Xenopus tropicalis: one gene and its partner. The protein of the gene in region 1 purifies or fractionates together with the protein of each later gene. This does not show direct contact. Links are inferred from orthologs where the notes say so. Each region holds a gene or a part of one and is shown on either strand. Other genes may lie near its edges.

Region 1 (8,201 bases):
ATGATAAATATACCCCTAAGTCAATAAGGAATCTCATTGTTACCATATAGAAGTATATTCTATTTCAGTGATTTCAAATTGTGGGTTTTACTGTCCCGCATTGAAGCTAATGTTTTTTAGTACAATGGAAGAACACTATTGATATATACTCCTTGTCACATGGGGAAGTGGCAATAACTCCCAGTTAAGCAAGCTTTATATGGGACTCCATTAAAAGAGATGGAAGCCATTTGCTGCTGGTCATTGGAAATAGCATAGAAGCCCTTCTTTGTACAGGTTTTTTTTCTAACTTGTCTGTGATCAACACTCAAACTGAGACTTATGTGTTATTTCATAAACTTTCACAACTTCTAGTTTTTTCTCTCACTATATATAAGGCCCTGGCTGTTTATGTGGTTACCCTGTAATGCAGACATCAGTTCTCTGCATTCACTGCCAGTTCTGACTCTTGTAACAATGTAGCAGTCAGTCCCCTCTACGGTATCTCTGCTAATCAGGTGATTTCTGCTACATTGTTTCAGTTGTCAGGACCACTTGTGTAGAGAACAGAAAAAAGATAGATGCTGCTTGTAATACATTTACATATAACTTTAAAGCCATTTCTAAAATCGAATTAACCTATAAGTTTGCTTATGAACAATTCATTTTATAGAAATGCTGGATCATAAACAGGGTCGGACTGGGGGGTGCAGGGTCCATCGGGGCTGCTGCCCCTAGTGTCCCGCCCCCCCAAGGTGCCCCTGCCGGCCGCGTCCCCCCACTCCACAAGGGCCCCTGCCATGCCCCCCTAACCTCCCACAGGGGCCCCAGCCCAACGTCCTCCCCTGAGAGCGCATAAGTGAAACACGTCAGGGGAGGGGCACCACCGGGTGAGTGCCCACAGGGACCGGGTCTGAGCCACCAGGGCCCACCTTGTTTTTTCCCGGTGCCTCAGTGGCTCAGTCCGACCCTGGCTGTAAATGATAGAATGCTCATAACCCAATAAGATTGTTTTTCAATAAGGTTTGATTATATCTTAGTTGGGATCAAGGTACTGTTTTATTATTACAGAGAAAAAGGAAATCATTTAAAAAAAATGTAATTATTTGATTAACATGGAGTCTATGGGAGATGGCCTTCCTGTAATTCTGAACTTTCTGGATAACGGAATTACAGATAATGGATCCAGGGTCAGACTGGGGGTTGCAGGGCCCACCGGGTAAGTAAGTGAAACTTACTTTCAATGCGTCAGGGTTGGGACACTGGTGGCCAGGGGAGCGGTGACAGGAATTGGGTCTGGCCCCACCGGGTTTTTTCCTGGTGCCCTGGTGGCCCAGTCCGACCCTGAATGGATCCCATATATATAGCTGCACCACCCGGCCTCTGGTCCTGAATTCTCAGTGGGCTTGGCATATAGTAAATATAAATAAATGGAGGGCACGCACAGAAAACACAAGCACAGTGGTAGTATTAAAAGATGAGAATTACCCCTATTACCCTGGGGTAAATTTACAAATGTATGTATTATTTTCTGTAATCTTGTAATTAAAATTGATTGCTGTTAAATCTTTTGCATATTATATAAAGGATTATTTTATTAATACTACCACTATTCTTGTGTTTTATGTGTGCAAACCCTTATCCTATTTAAAATTCACAGTGGGCTTGGGCCTAAAAATCATGTGCAGTCGTTCTGATACCGAGCACTGGAAAAACATAGCAACAACACATTCCCCCCCTTCCTTTGCGGCTGCAATGATGGTGGAATTATGGGAAGAAAAGCTGCATTCTGGGTTAAAAAAACAAGAAATTCAAAAAAAGTGAACAGGAGCGACCAGCAGCACAAACACTGCAGTCCAAGGGACCTGTGTGTAGGGAAAGTTTGCGGCACAGATGTTATCCCTGCTCCATATGCATTTCCACTCTTTGCCAAGGTCAACATTCCTCCATAAAGGGGAAGCTGTTAATCTAATTGCAATTGCTGTTTGTGTTCTATACAGCTCAGTGGTTAGATAACATTTTTATAGGTTTATCTTAGCATGGTTGGGTTGATATTGATAATAACCAGTTGAAAGCATGAATTACATGTCACTTTCTAATCCAATCAGCTGTATTTCTATGAATATCCAGCACAGCAGTTCCAGCATCTCAGCTTAAATAAATGTCAGGCTGGGCTTCCAGTCTTGTCTTGGCTTACCCACCTGTACCTATGGCAGGCATACCAGCAGGCCCTGGGCACATAGTGAAAATGTGCTTAGAAAATGTCCCCTAGTTGAGGCCACCAATATGGAGAACATCTTAGCAGATGCATGCAGCTAAGCAACACCTACAAATACTGATTTATACGTGTTTCCTCACAACACAGTCCCTAGAACTAAATGTCACATTGCAGGCTGTTGTAGTTGGAAGACATTACACTAGCCCTCTGGTGAACTGAAGATACCCATACCAAGTACAAATTCTGCTCCACATGTTTGTAAATTATCTTAGATGCCTTGATGCCCTCCTTGTGTGCCAGCTACCCCGGGCAAGTTCTCTGGGGTCTATAATATGACCTCTGTGCATCAAAAAGTACATGGCCAGAATGTGCCATCGCTGCCAGCAGGCCAGAAAGCTGCACTGGGTTTTTATTAGAGGGCTGCTGATATAAGTTACAACCTGTACTGGATCTTATGGGGTCCCAGGGGCACAATTCCAAACTAAGTTATATTTCTCTTTAAACGAATACACGTAAAAGAGGGAGTACTCCTTCACAGGCCCTTCACATTAACCAAACAACTATATTACTTATAATCTAGATGGGTGGAGAGGGTACATGGTTGTCCACTGGGGGACCAGCCACAGTCAATCTATTAAACACAAAAACAAGTGGGTTTTTCCTAGGCACACTCCCTGGCCAGCATACAAAGGGCACAATACAAGAAAGGAGGCTGTACCTGATGTTTGCAAATAGGGTGCTTCCAAATTTCATGAAGGTGCACAGAAACACCCTATATGCAAACATCAGCCACAGTTAGGCTGGCTGTACAGGTGAATTTATAGGCCCATGTACTTGGCAGGTCCCATCTGATCAATATCTGCCCGACATTTGCCCCATTCCAACTTGGCCCAGTAATATGGTGGCCAAATCAAGTAATTATTATCATTATTAACATTTATTTATACAGCGCCACATATTCCGCAGCGCTGTACAATAAGTGGGTTTCATACATTGGACATACAGAGTAACATATAAAGCAATCAATAACCGATACAAGAGGTGAAGAGAGCCCTGCCCAAAAGAGCTTACAAAGGGTTGAGACACAAGGTGTAATGACCTGCTTGTTTGGTAACCTAGCTTAACAAGCTGTATGGCTATCTTTAGGGGACCACTGGCTTAAGATCTCACTTCTGGAGTGATGCAAACAGCTGTCAGATGGGATCTGGGACCACTGTGGTCTCCAGGCTCTGTAATAAAGACTACTAAGATCCTTAGCCAGGAAGGAGGACCGAACTGCTGCTTTGATATAGAACACAGCTATTCAGTTATATTTACCTATCTAAGATTGCAAGTGATTGTAACTTTCAAAGGTTTAAGCAAAATAATTAAGTTTCTACAAAACTACTGTATTTTATTCTTTCGAGGCATAAATCCAAATGTTAGTTCACTAAGAGTCTGTTCATTCTTTAATATTCTGTAACCCAATGCAATTCAAATGTTCCATCATAGGGTATTAAGGGCACATTTCCAAGATTTTCCCTGTTTACTGCAACAGCACCAACGTACCATCTTTTTTTTAAAGAAAAAAATGTAGTTACTTGCAATCATGTGACCATATCCAAATATCAGAAAGAAAGCACTATAAAGGCTCTGATAGGACCAGACAGTGGATGTTTCTAGGGAAAAACTCTGATATTACACATGACGCACGAAGGTCAGTTCAGGAGAAGAGAAATTGCCAAATAAACAGAGCAATTCAATAAGAGCAGGAAATACAGCAAGTTACAGAAAATACCCCAGAATAAAGGGGGAACTGCACTTTATTGCAGACATAGCAAAAACAAGGGGAAAAAAACCCAAAAATGGTATGTTCTGCCAACATAGGATTTCCCTTCAGCTTGATGCCATGGTAATTGTTTTTAGAATGCTAAAAGTTGTCTTAATATTGCCAAAGGGGTCAGTGGATTCTGTCAGCTGCTGCAGAACCTCTACCCACACAACATACCCCCTCCTTATACTGCCAGCAGGCAAACCATCAGGGTCCTGACTCTTTCCAGTCCACACATTCCCTGCATTCCCCATACAAGGCTGCTGCTGCTGAGTTAAAGAATATGCTGCCCAAGTTTCAGATTAGTAAACAGGTCATTAGTCCCAGAAATGACAGACATATAAAAGAGTATGGGGGAGTGAGTTAGTACCACAAGCAGCAGTAGGAGAAGTTAGCCAAAGCAAAGCTGCCAGTCAGTGGCAAATACCTGCAGGCAGCACAGTGAGGGTCTCCCCGGCAGGCAGCACACTGAGGGTCTCCCCGGCAGGCAGCACAGTGAGGGTCTCCCCGGCAGGCAGCACAGTGAGGGTCTCCCCGGCAGGCAGCACACTGAGGGTCTCCCCGGCAGGCAGCACACTGAGGGTCTCCCCGGCAGGCAGCACACTGAGGGTCTCCCCGGCAGGCAGCGCAGCACTAGATGACATGGCAGTGGGGATGGAGCTGCATGGCAGATGCACAAAACAGCAGCAGGATAAGAATGGTAAGGATCTGCCCAGCTGTTCCCATGCCCAAGCCACACCCAGCAGTTTCCTAGTGCCTCGGTGTCACTTACTTGTGGCTGCAGCTGCTGCTGCTGGAGTGAGAGGCGCTTCCAGACGCTTCCGGGCGCTTGCGTTTCTCTTCCCCTCCAGATGTTGCGCCGCGATTATCCCGGGCACCGGCCGATCTGCCTTGTTCCCCTCACTCTCCCTGAGTTGTGCAAAGAGAAAAAAAATCCAGACTTCCCCTCAGTCCGGAAACATTGATGTGATGCAACAGTTCCCACATCTGGCCTGAGCTTGCTCCATCAGCTGCGCTGCGATTATTGTAGCACATCCAAATCGGAGGCTGCTGCTACACTCAGCAGCGTTTTATAGAATGATGGCTGTGTTTACACTCCCATCCCATCATCCCATATGGTATTTGTAGCAGTACCTAGTTCCATTGCATGGTATCATGGAATCGCACCTACTGACCTGGTGTGACATGCAGCAATGCTGCTAATGATCATAAATACACTTTCTGTGCCTGTCTTAAAGGAACAGTAACATCAAAAAAATAAAGTGTTTTAAAGTAATTAAAATATAATGTGCTGTTGCTCTGCAAAAAATTGGTGTTTTTGCTACAGAAAAGCTACTATATAAATAAGCTGCTGTATAGCCATGGGGGCAGCCATTCAAGCTGGAAAAAAGGAGAAAAGGCACAGGTTACATAGCAGATAACTAGTAGATAAGCCTCATAAGTAGATATCTGTTATCTGCTAAGTAACCTGTGCCTTTTCTCCTTTGAATGGCTGCCCCCGGGGCTACACAGCAGCATATTTATATAAACTATAGTCTTTCTGAGGCAAACACACCAGTTGTACCAGTGCAGGGCAACAGTACATTATATTGTTAATACTTTTATACACTTTCATTTTTTGGTGTTACTGTTCCTTTAATGGTCACATTAGCTACATGCCTATCATGCTACATGGGTTACATTACACCTAATAAACATGCCTGCATTCACTAAATAACAACTAATTCTGCACTTTGCAAAACATGAAAACATTTAAACAAATAAAGCACATTTGCAATTTTTAAAATAACATTTTTCATTATAAAGTTATTTACATTTTGGTAATTAATTTGTTACATTTGATAAAAAAAAGCCCTCTAAGTTGGCAAAAGGGTTAAAGTACCAGAAGTGTAAAGAAATAGTTCACCTATGAATTAACATTAAGGGGTATATTTATCATGCTGTGTAAAAAGTGGAGTAAAACATCAGCAGTGATGTTGTATATAGCAGCCAATCAGATGCTTTTATTTGATTTTCTAACTGTTGAAATCTAATTGCTGATTGGTTACTCTGGGTAACATTACTGGTAATGCTTTACTCCACTTTTTACACAGCATGATAAGTATACCCCCTAGTCTGATCAGTGTCAGACTTGGGTGGCGGGTTGCCAAATGTGGCTAATTCAATCGTTCAGCCCTAGGGCCAAACAATTGAATTAGAACGGCGAGCATAGGTGCCATTGGCCCAAGGACCACCAGCCAATGCTTTCCCTGATCCGAAGTAAAATTGAACCTGCCCTATCAAAATCTAGCCAATTTAGGCCTTGTATCAGTTAGGCAGGCCCAGGGTCAGACCTGATCCCTGTTGCCGCTTCCCCTGGCCGCCGATGTCCTCCCCTGATGCGTTTCACTTATGTGCGCTCAGGGGAGGATGTCGGGAGGGTGGTGGGGGCCCCTGCAGGGGCTTAGGGGGGGTGCAGCAAGGACTGCTGCAGGGGGGTTCGGGGCCCTTGGGGCAGTCCGACCCTGGGTAGGCCCATCGGGGGTGGCCATATAGGAGCAGATAAGCTGCCGTATTGGTCTAAAGGACCCAAATTGGCAGCTAAAATCTGACCATGAATGGGCCTCTTTACAATCGGTGTAGGCAGTGCTAACCTAGGGAGCTGAGTTGCAGTTGTCATTGCAGTTGCAGTGGTGCAAGGAAGACACAGCAAAGAGGGGGGGCTGCAGGACACTAGTAACAATATGAACAAATAGAGATATTAAACATATTTTCCAGTTCTGCACAGGCAACTCTGATTTCACCTACTAGGATGTGTTGTTACTAGTCAACAGTATTGATAATGGGGGCCATGTATATCCCTTGGATTTGGGGCTTTTGGATGTCTATGGTGACTGGGTACCTGGTGCAAATTAGTGTCTTATCTCCACCTAGTTGGATTCGGAGGGGAAGGTGGGACCACTAGGGAACGAAAACCATTTAACACACATTTAATGTTTAGTCAATACCTCAATGTACAGTAAATAACAGGGGCTATTGGAAGGTTGCTTAGCATTACATTTTCTTTAATAATGTAAAAAAAATTGTTTTGGTTGATGCTGATGTTAGGCCACTTACCTTTGGTGATTTCAGGCAGCTCAGTGTATTTAAATATGTAAGATGTGAAAGGCACAGTTCTCCTTTAAATTAACTCTTTGCATGATGTAGACAGTGATATAGTGTGCCAGCAATGTGCTTCTACTGTATTTACTGTATCTCTGTTTGTCCCCCAATTTGATGGCCTGTGGCCAATGCACATGCTGCATTCCCTTTTAACTGTGTCCTGCTGCTATCTAGTATACATGCAAGTGCAAGACCAAATAACATTATAAATATATATGTACATTGACTGGGGGACTGTGGTTTCATATGTAGCACAAAGCCATTAAAATCAGATTGCAGCTCAGGTAAGTGCACTCTCAGTTATTATTCTGACTTCTGACCCATTTATCTTATTTTCTCTATTTATCTTATTATAGCTGATTCCTGTGTCTGAGTGCACACATTGGGTTTCACAAGCCTGACGGTGGCTGATCTGACCAAACGGCGCTAAAGATAACAGGAAACCAGAGAGGAGAGAAGAAGGAAATGGTTTCACAGTAAGTGTGAGAGTTAGAATATAAAAGATGTATATATAAGAAGAGAGCAATCCTGCCAGCACACTCAGTAACTGATGGGGGGGGGGGGAGAGATAGGGGTTTGGGTATTTGAGTTATACACTAAATGGTAGTTTGTTGGGGGATCCTTAATTGAAAAGGATCTGGGGGTTTTGTAGATAACAAGTTGTCTAATTCCAGGCAGTGTCATTCTGTGGCTACTAAAGCAAATAAAGTGCTGTCTTGTATAAAAAAGGGCATTGACTCAAGGGATGAGAACATAATTTTGCCCCTTTATAGATCCCTGGTAAGGCCTCACCTTGAGTATGCGGTGCAGTTTTGGGCTCCAGTCCTTAAGAGGGATATTAATGAGCTGGAGAGAGTGCAGAGACATGCAACTAAACTGGTAAAGGGGATGGAAGATTTAAACTATGAGGTGAGACTGTCAGGGTTGAGGTTGTTTTCTCTGGAAAAGAGGCGCTTGCGAGGGGACATGATTACTCTGTACAAGTACATTAGAGGGGATTATAGGCAGATAGGGGATGTTCTTTTTTCCCATAAAAACAATCAACGCACCAGA
Region 2 (8,185 bases), on another chromosome or scaffold:
GGGGTATGGAATCTATTATTCAGAATACTTGGGAACTGGGCTTTATGTAGTATGCTAACCATTAAGTACAAAGGTACTGTTTTGTTTTATTACTGTACACAGAAAAATGAAAATATTTTTAAAAATTCTAAATTAATCTTTCTGGATATTGATTTTCCAGTTAATAGACAACCATACTGTACTATAAAAATTGGTTGGCTCTGGAATCAGACAGATTAAAAATTGTAATCTGTCAATGTGCCATGTCGGCAAGTGCAAGGTGCATCTGTAGATGAGATAGTTAAGAGGAGCCACTTGTGCTCTGCGCAAGACTAAAACTATATTAATTTACACACTGTTAATCTGACCATACATTTAAATATGAACTCATTTTACGAAATTGCCAAATGGCAGATGTTTGCCCAATTCAGTCACCCATCTACAAAATTAAATCAGGTTGATCCTATCGATGGCCGAGGGGCCAAAGATCAGACCCTACTGGGGGCTACAGGGACCTGTTGTGTGAGGACCAAATCAATGCACCATAGTGGTCCTCACCTTACAGAATTGTCAGATCTGTCCAACAGATATCTGGCCAATTATAATCAGTATATCAGTCAAAAAGGGTTCTCCAGAGGGCCCTATACACAAATAAGACAGCCTGGAAGAGCCAAGTTGGGAGCTTTTACTGTCCTTTAAAAGACAGCACCAAACCTGAGATATCTAATCAGGCAAAACCAGACAGCTCCTAACTTTGCCATATGTGAAGATCTGACTATACAGTAGATGTATTTCAATGTGAAATAAAGAGCCTATTAGACTAGACCAGTGCTGTCCAACTTCTGTTGTACCGAGGGCCGGAATTTTTCCGACCTACGTGGTGGAGGGCCGATAATGGAAGCCAGTTTTGACCACTCCCCTTTTTGAAACCGCACCCACTTGAAACCACACCCATGTTATCACATGACCATACCCATATTAATGGTTGTAGTACAGCAAAAACCTGCCATACTCTGCCTGCCCTACCCTGCCTTTGTGTGTGCCATACTCTGCCTTCCCTACCCTGCCTGCGTGTGCCATACTTTCACTGTGTGTGCCATTCTTGGCTGGTTTGTGCCAAACTTGGCCTGTGTGTGCCATACTCTGCCTGCCATACTCTGCCTTCCCTACCCTGCCTGTGTGTGCCATACTCTGCCTGCCCTACTCTGCCTGTGTGTGCCATACTCTGCCTGCCCTACTCTTCCTGTGTGTGCCATACTCTGCCTGCCCTACTCTGCCTGTGCGTGCCATACTCTGCCTTCCCTACCCTGCCTGTGTGTGCCATACTCTGCTTGCCCTATGCTCACACACAGGCAGCCTACAGTGACACAATGCTGGCACTGCTCCTACAGTCTGCACAATAACTATATATTAAAAAACTTTTTAATTGCAGTACCACCTCAGTATATGTTCTTTTTGTAGTATGCAGGGATTATTTGTGGGTTTCTACTGCTCCTGAGGTGTGAAGAAGTGAACAATGGGTGTGATTACAGCCTGAGCCTGAGGTGTGAACACTGCAGGGGGTGAACAATGCAGAGATTAAAAGGTGTGAACAGTACAGGGGATTACATATTTAAACAATACAGCCTGATTACAGCCTGAATCTGAGGTGAGAACCATGCAGGGGGGGGGGGCAGTTAATTACAGTTCTGATACCATTTAAAGCTTACACAAAGGTAAGCCATCAAAGCAGCCAGACAGGTGGGGGGCCACACAGAGGGGGGCCGCGGGCCGCATGCGGCCCGCGGGCCGCCAGTTGGACAGCACTGGACTAGACTATTAGACTAGCTGCTATAGGTTGGAAGCTTTTGACAGCCGGATTGTGTCAGATGACAACTTTAACGTAGTTAACAGACTCTACTTTTACTATCAGTAGCATTATTTATGGACAAGTGGAACTATTTGGATTATGTGCTTTGTTGACCGTTGTGTAGTTCAGCCCAAACTATGAAGAATGAATAGAATCAAGCCACTCTGATCCATAGTTTGCTGTATTATCTATGGGGTCAGTATGAGCTTGTATATACATCCTGTCACAGTCACTCATTCTCTTGTTGTCATACTGACCATTACTTTCCTTCCTTTCTACTCATACACCCACAACCGTTACTGTCTGGCCTTGTTTTCACTGTCTCTTACAATATCTTTTGACTCATGAAAATATACCGTAATGGCTACGACTGTATGTTTATTAATTTTGACCATTTGTTTTTAGCCTTCCTGGTTGAGGAATATTTTAGCTAAAAACACAAGTGTGTTCAAAAGAAATTTGCCAATTTCCACGTTCAAATTATACATGATTTAAAGTCAACCGAAACAACACCCCTCCTCGCACACTCACACAAACTTCCTTTACAAGCTGCTTTCTGCTGTGTAATTCAGTTGCACTGCAACAGTGCTTCCTGCTTCATGCAACCACAAAGACTGGTGCATCCGATGAAAAAATGGCTCCCCGTGGAAAACTGCTCTTTCAATTAAGAGACATTTAATGACTTAAGTGACTAAACAGCCACTGGTCTGTCCAGTAAATGAGCCTATGATCCCTCCCCTTCTAAGCCACTTGGCCAGAGAAAAGGAGGCATGTGGATCTATTTGAGTCAGCACCAATGCATGGATGTAGATTGACCCATGTCTGCTGAATGAACTGCCTTAAATGACTGGGCAACACAGAAGGAGAAAAGGAGCTGGTCCAGATTCCTAAGTAAGGAAAGTAAAAATCCATTTTCAATTAAGATATTCTTTTGTAATAAAACTGTAAGAAGTTATAGGTATAAATGTCATGTAAGATCAATGGCTCATAGACCACTGGGAGTGCTATGCAGAACACATGATTTCCAATTCTACTCACCAGTGCCCCATGTACCATTGCCCTAACAGCTTTCATAGCATGGCAACTCATCTAGTATCTATCTACTACAAGCCATAGCCCCACAAGGGCCAGTGTGCAGAACAAGATATTTAGCTTGTAGCTGCCTTGCTGTTGTTCTTCTGTGGATCCCTAACAAATGAGGAGGATGAATGGGTTTCAGAGACCCAGGCTGGGGTTCCCACAGTCATGCACATGGATGCAGGGTTCATACCACAATCACTAAAACGCCAACAACTAAAGTGAAAACATTTGACTAAGCTGCAGTAGCCCCATGCAACTCCACTTGGTGCTGCTTCAGTTCACAGCCTAACGAGTTTCATTAATTAATATTTAGTAGGGAATCAATGGCTAGGCCTATAAGGAAAACAGTGTGAGGCATCTGTATAATAAAACATAGTTAATGCAGTAGAGAATATGCATGTTTATTCTTCATAACTGGGATTCCCAACATGCAAGCCTGCAGCTACTTAAAGGAGTATACTCCTTGCCTAACATGAGTGCAATAAAGAGGGTTTGTGCCAAACATACTTTTTGTCTATTGTTTTAATTAAAACATATCGATGGTGTTTGTTATTGCTTTAACTAAATTGGGCAAACAGAGCAACTGAAGCGACTCCATGATTCTAACTTCCTGGTTCTTGTAAGGTAGATAATAAGATTATGAGAGCACAGTTGTACCCTCTGTAGCTTGGGCATCTGTTTATAAGTATCCCCAAAACAGTTGCAACAAAGGGTTAAAGAGAGGGAGTTGCTTAGACTAAGAAAATATGGAGTTTTTTGTTTTGTTTATCAATGAAAAGAACAGTCAGAATGTATTTTCAGAAAAGGTTATGATAGGCTATGGGGGATTAAGGTGTATCCCACTCCTTATACTCTAAGCATCACCTAAGGAAGTGAGAAATGTGGGTGCTGTGGTTCAGCAAGAGCCCTGAAATACAAATGATAAGCTAAGCAGGGTTATCTTGCAATAGTGCCCTAGCTGAGGATGCTGGGAAGCTGCACAACGTAGCAGCTTGGAGACAATCGAATATGACATTCCAGGTCTCCACAGCCAGTCATGGGAATGATACTCAGCTCCCCAGCAGGCCTCTCCCTTTCCCACGACCCCCTCCCACCCCGACATACAACCCACCGTAACTTCCTCTCAGAACGCCCTGACAAGCCAAGGAAGCTCACCTGAGACAGGCAGCGGAGCTGGGTAGAGAAAGCGCGCCCCGGAGCCTGGCACCATGTGCCCCAGCACACACCTCACCAACACGGACCTCACAGAGATTCCAACCGCCTAGAGCTTCTACCTCTCCGGCCAGGCATCAGAAACCACCTAGCTCCGCCCACCACTCCTAGCCACGCCCGCGTACAAGCAACGCTGCTCTTTTCCTTGCCACAAACCAAGCGTCGTCATACTTCCACCCTGCGGCCACGCCCACTACAAAGAAAAAAAATGTACTGACGGCGAATATACCCATTGCGCAGGCGCAAGGGTAACGCTTGTGCCGTACTGCCGGCGTTAGGTCATTGTTACCCTAATATGCTGCTCCGCTTCGGCGCTTTTAGTTTCATTTCAGGAAAAATAAGGCAAGGCTAAGAATCTGAGAGTTCCAACCTGGACAGTCTGTACGACAGTATTTGTGACTTGTCATCTCACGTCCCGCTGGAGGGCATCGATTTGTATTCCTTTTCTTACTTGAGAAATTTACTGACGTCATGAACAGAGGGAGATGCGCATGCGTAGATTATGCAAATGATATTTCATAATTAACATGTTTCAGTGTGATTTTCGGGGTTTTGCGCGTAGCTTGGGGCACAAAAGCTGAAAACAGGGGTCGCCCCCCTAAGCGCTGGCATATGGTAGGGTCTGCAGAGGGGTGGGACGGCCGGGAAGCCTCCCCATATGCGCATGCTCACAGCCTGCTTTCTCTGCAACTAGCAGCTCTATTAGCAATAGCCTGTGGTACGCTATAACAGGTAACATAGGGTGAAATGATGCTGGTATTGGTATGGTATTAAGGGCTTTAGTCTTCAGCAAATGTTGGTGTATTAGGTGTGGTACTTACTGGGAAGGGATAGCAGGTATAGTAGTGAGCCTATAGTAGCAGTGGGGGAATAATAGCCTCTGGGAAGGGACTGTGGCTGTGGGATAGCAGGTATAGTAGGGAGAGATGGTGCCTATAGTAGCAGTGGGATAATAGCCTCTGGGAAGGGACTGTGGCTGTGGGATAGCAGGTATAGTAGTGGGAGATGGTGCCTATAGTAGCAGTGGGGATAATAGCCTCTGGGAAGGGACTGTGGCTGTGGGATAGCAGGTATAGTAGGGAGAGATGGTGCCTATAGTAGCAGTGGGATAATATCCTCTGGGAAGGGACTGTGGCTGTGGGATAGCAGGTATAGTAGGGAGAGATGGTGCCTATAGTAGCAGTGGGATAATTACATAGTTACATAGGGTTGAAAAAAGACCATTGTCCATCAAGTTCAACCCATCCGAGTAAACCCAGCACACAACCTATACTAACCAATCTATACACTCACATACATAAACTATATATATACAACCAGTAATACTAACTGTAGATATTAGTATCACAATAGCCTTGGATATTCTGCTTGTTCAAAAACTCATCCAGGCCCCTCTTAAAGGCATTAACAGAGTCTGCCATTACCACATCACTAGGAAGGGCATTCCACAGCCTCTGGGAAGGGACTGGGGCTGTGGGATAGCAGGTATAGTAGGGAGAGATGGTGCCTATAGTAGCAGTGGGGGTATAATAGCCTCTGGGAAGGGACTGGGGCTGTGGGATAGCAGGTATAGTAGGGAGAGATGGTGCCTATAGTAGCAGTGGGATAATAGCCTCTGGAAAGGGACTGTGGCTGTGGGATAGCAGGTATAGTAGGGAGAGATGGTGCCTATAGTAGCAGTGGGGGTATAATAGCCTCTGGGAAGGGACTGTGGCTGTGGGATAGCAGGTATAGTAGGGAGAGATGGTGCCTATAGTAGCAGTGGGGGTATAATAGCCTCTGGGAAGGGACTGGGGCTGTGGGATAGCAGGTATAGTAGGGAGAGATGGTGCCTATAGTAGCAGTGGGATAATAGCCTCTGGAAAGGGACTGTGGCTGTGGGATAGCAGGTATAGTAGGGAGAGATGGTGCCTATAGTAGCAGTGGGGGTATAATAGCCTCTGGGAAGGGACTGTGGCTGTGGGATAGCAGGTATAGTAGGGAGAGATGGTGCCTATAGTAGCAGTGGGGGGATAATAGCCTCTGGGAAGGGACTGTGGCTGTGGGATAGCAGGTATAGTAGGGAGAGATGGTGCCTATAGTAGCAGTGGGATAATAGCCTCTGGGAAGGGACTGTGGCTGTGGGATAGCAGGTATAGTAGGGAGAGATGGTGCCTATAGTAGCAGTGGGGGGATAATAGCCTCTGGGAAGGGACTGTGGCTGTGGGATAGCAGGTATAGTAGGGAGAGATGGTGCCTATAGTAGCAGTGGGGGGATAATAGCCTCTGGGAAGGGACTGTGGCTGTGGGATAGCAGGTATAGTAGGGAGAGATGGTGCCTATAGTAGCAGTGGGATAATAGCCTCTGGGAAGGGACTGTGGCTGTGGGATAGCAGGTATAGTAGGGAGAGATGGTGCCTATAGTAGCAGTGGGGGGATAATAGCCTCTGGGAAGGGACTGTGGCTGTGGGATAGCAGGTATAGTAGGGAGAGATGGTGCCTATAGTAGCAGTGGGGGGATAATAGCCTCTGGGAAGGGACTGTGGCTGTGGGATAGCAGGTATAGTAGGGAGAGATGGTGCCTATAGTAGCAGTGGGGGGATAATAGCCTCTGGGAAGGGACTGGGGCTGTGGGATAGCAGGTATAGTAGGGAGAGATGGTGCTTATAGTAGCAGTGAGGGGATAATAGCCTCTGGGAAGGGAGTGTGGCTGTGGGATAGCAGGTATAGTAGGGAGAGATGGTGCCTATAGTAGCAGTGGGGGGATAATAGCCTCTGGGAAGGGACTGTGGCTGTGGGATAGCAGGTATAGTAGGGAGAGATGGTGCCTATAGTAGCATTGGGGGGATAATAGCCTCTGGGAAGGGACTGTGGCTGTGGGATAACAGGTATAGTAGGGAGAGATGGTGCCTATAGTAGCAGTGGGGGATAATAGCCTCTGGGAAGGGACTGGGGCTGTGGGATAACAGGTATAGTAGGGAGAGATGGTGCCTATAGTAGCAGTGGGGGGATAATAGCCTCTGGGAAGGGACTGTGGCTGTGGGATAACAGGTATAGTAGGGAGAGATGGTGCCTATAGTAGCAGTGGGGGGATAATAGCCTCTGGGAAGGGACTGTGGCTGTGGGATAGTAGGTATAGTAGGGAGAGATGGTGCCTCTCAGTGGGTGGACAATTAAACACAATTACAAATAATTTTTATATGGATATTGGCTAACCTGATTTCAGCAAAAGTTTTGACATAATACAAAGAAATGCTTCTTGTGAATACGACAGACAATAAATTGATTACAGAGAATCTGCTTGACTTCATGAAGGATTCCATGATGAGATATTTAGTAAAGTGGATTAGGGAGGATCTGTTGATGGGATATGTTTAGTTTTGCCAAAACCTTTGCTGCTGTCCAAAATACAATGGAAATGCATAAAATATAACACAGCCTCAAAGAAATGGCAAAGAATTCTTATGAATAGAATATATTATGTTTGACTATTTCCTCACTGCAGAAAAAAGTTAGAAATGTGAGTTAAAGTGAAACTGGATTTATTTCTAAAGATGCAGATATTGGTCTGTGTAAAGCATTGTTTTACAATTTAAGCCCTATTTTAGAAAGTGACAAGTCTCAGTTTTAACAGTTATGTGTCACTATGCATACATACATACATAAACCCTTGTGCTTTTTCTGTAATATGTGTTTCCCTGCCCGCCCTTTACTAACCTGTGTCGGCCTCTAGCATGGCTTGAAGTTGAGCAGCTTTCTGATTGATATTGGACCGTGGGGGTTTTGATTGGCTGGGGAGTTGCCTATCAGAATAATAGTGCACCATCGCTCACAAAGCTGTTCAGCTTAATGCTATGTGTGCTGGAGCCTGACACAGGATAGTAAGGGGTGAGCTGGGGGAGACAGGGGGGCACATACATTACAAAATAATTGCAGGCAGCACTAGGGTTTATGTAGGCATAGTGAAATATTCCTGTTAAAACTTTGAAAGTGTCTATACCTTTAATCACAAATATAATTTAAAACTGACTTAACTGTGTCAAGCTTGCAGACGTAACATCAATTATATAGGCACCCGAGGGCCGT

The links.
Region 2: the proteins of wipf1 (region 1) and nck1 purify together in Homo sapiens (co-immunoprecipitation; 5 studies listed by BioGRID and IntAct, with this or other methods). This does not show direct contact. The link is inferred for Xenopus tropicalis from reciprocal best matches to the Homo sapiens genes WIPF1 and NCK1.

Annotation. Positions count from the first base shown.
Region 1 is NC_030685.2:66,318,989-66,327,189, reverse strand, and holds the start of wipf1 (WAS/WASL-interacting protein family member 1), read right to left. Parts: upstream 5,007-8,201; 5' UTR 4,780-5,006; intron 4,668-4,779; exon of another isoform or gene 4,435-4,667; intron 1-4,434. UniProt on the Homo sapiens protein: Plays a role in the reorganization of the actin cytoskeleton. Contributes with NCK1 and GRB2 in the recruitment and activation of WASL.
Region 2 is NC_030681.2:132,191,249-132,199,433, forward strand, and holds the start of nck1 (cytoplasmic protein NCK1), read right to left. Parts: upstream 4,190-8,185; 5' UTR 4,064-4,189; intron 1-4,063. UniProt on the Homo sapiens protein: Adapter protein which associates with tyrosine-phosphorylated growth factor receptors, such as KDR and PDGFRB, or their cellular substrates. Maintains low levels of EIF2S1 phosphorylation by promoting its dephosphorylation by PP1.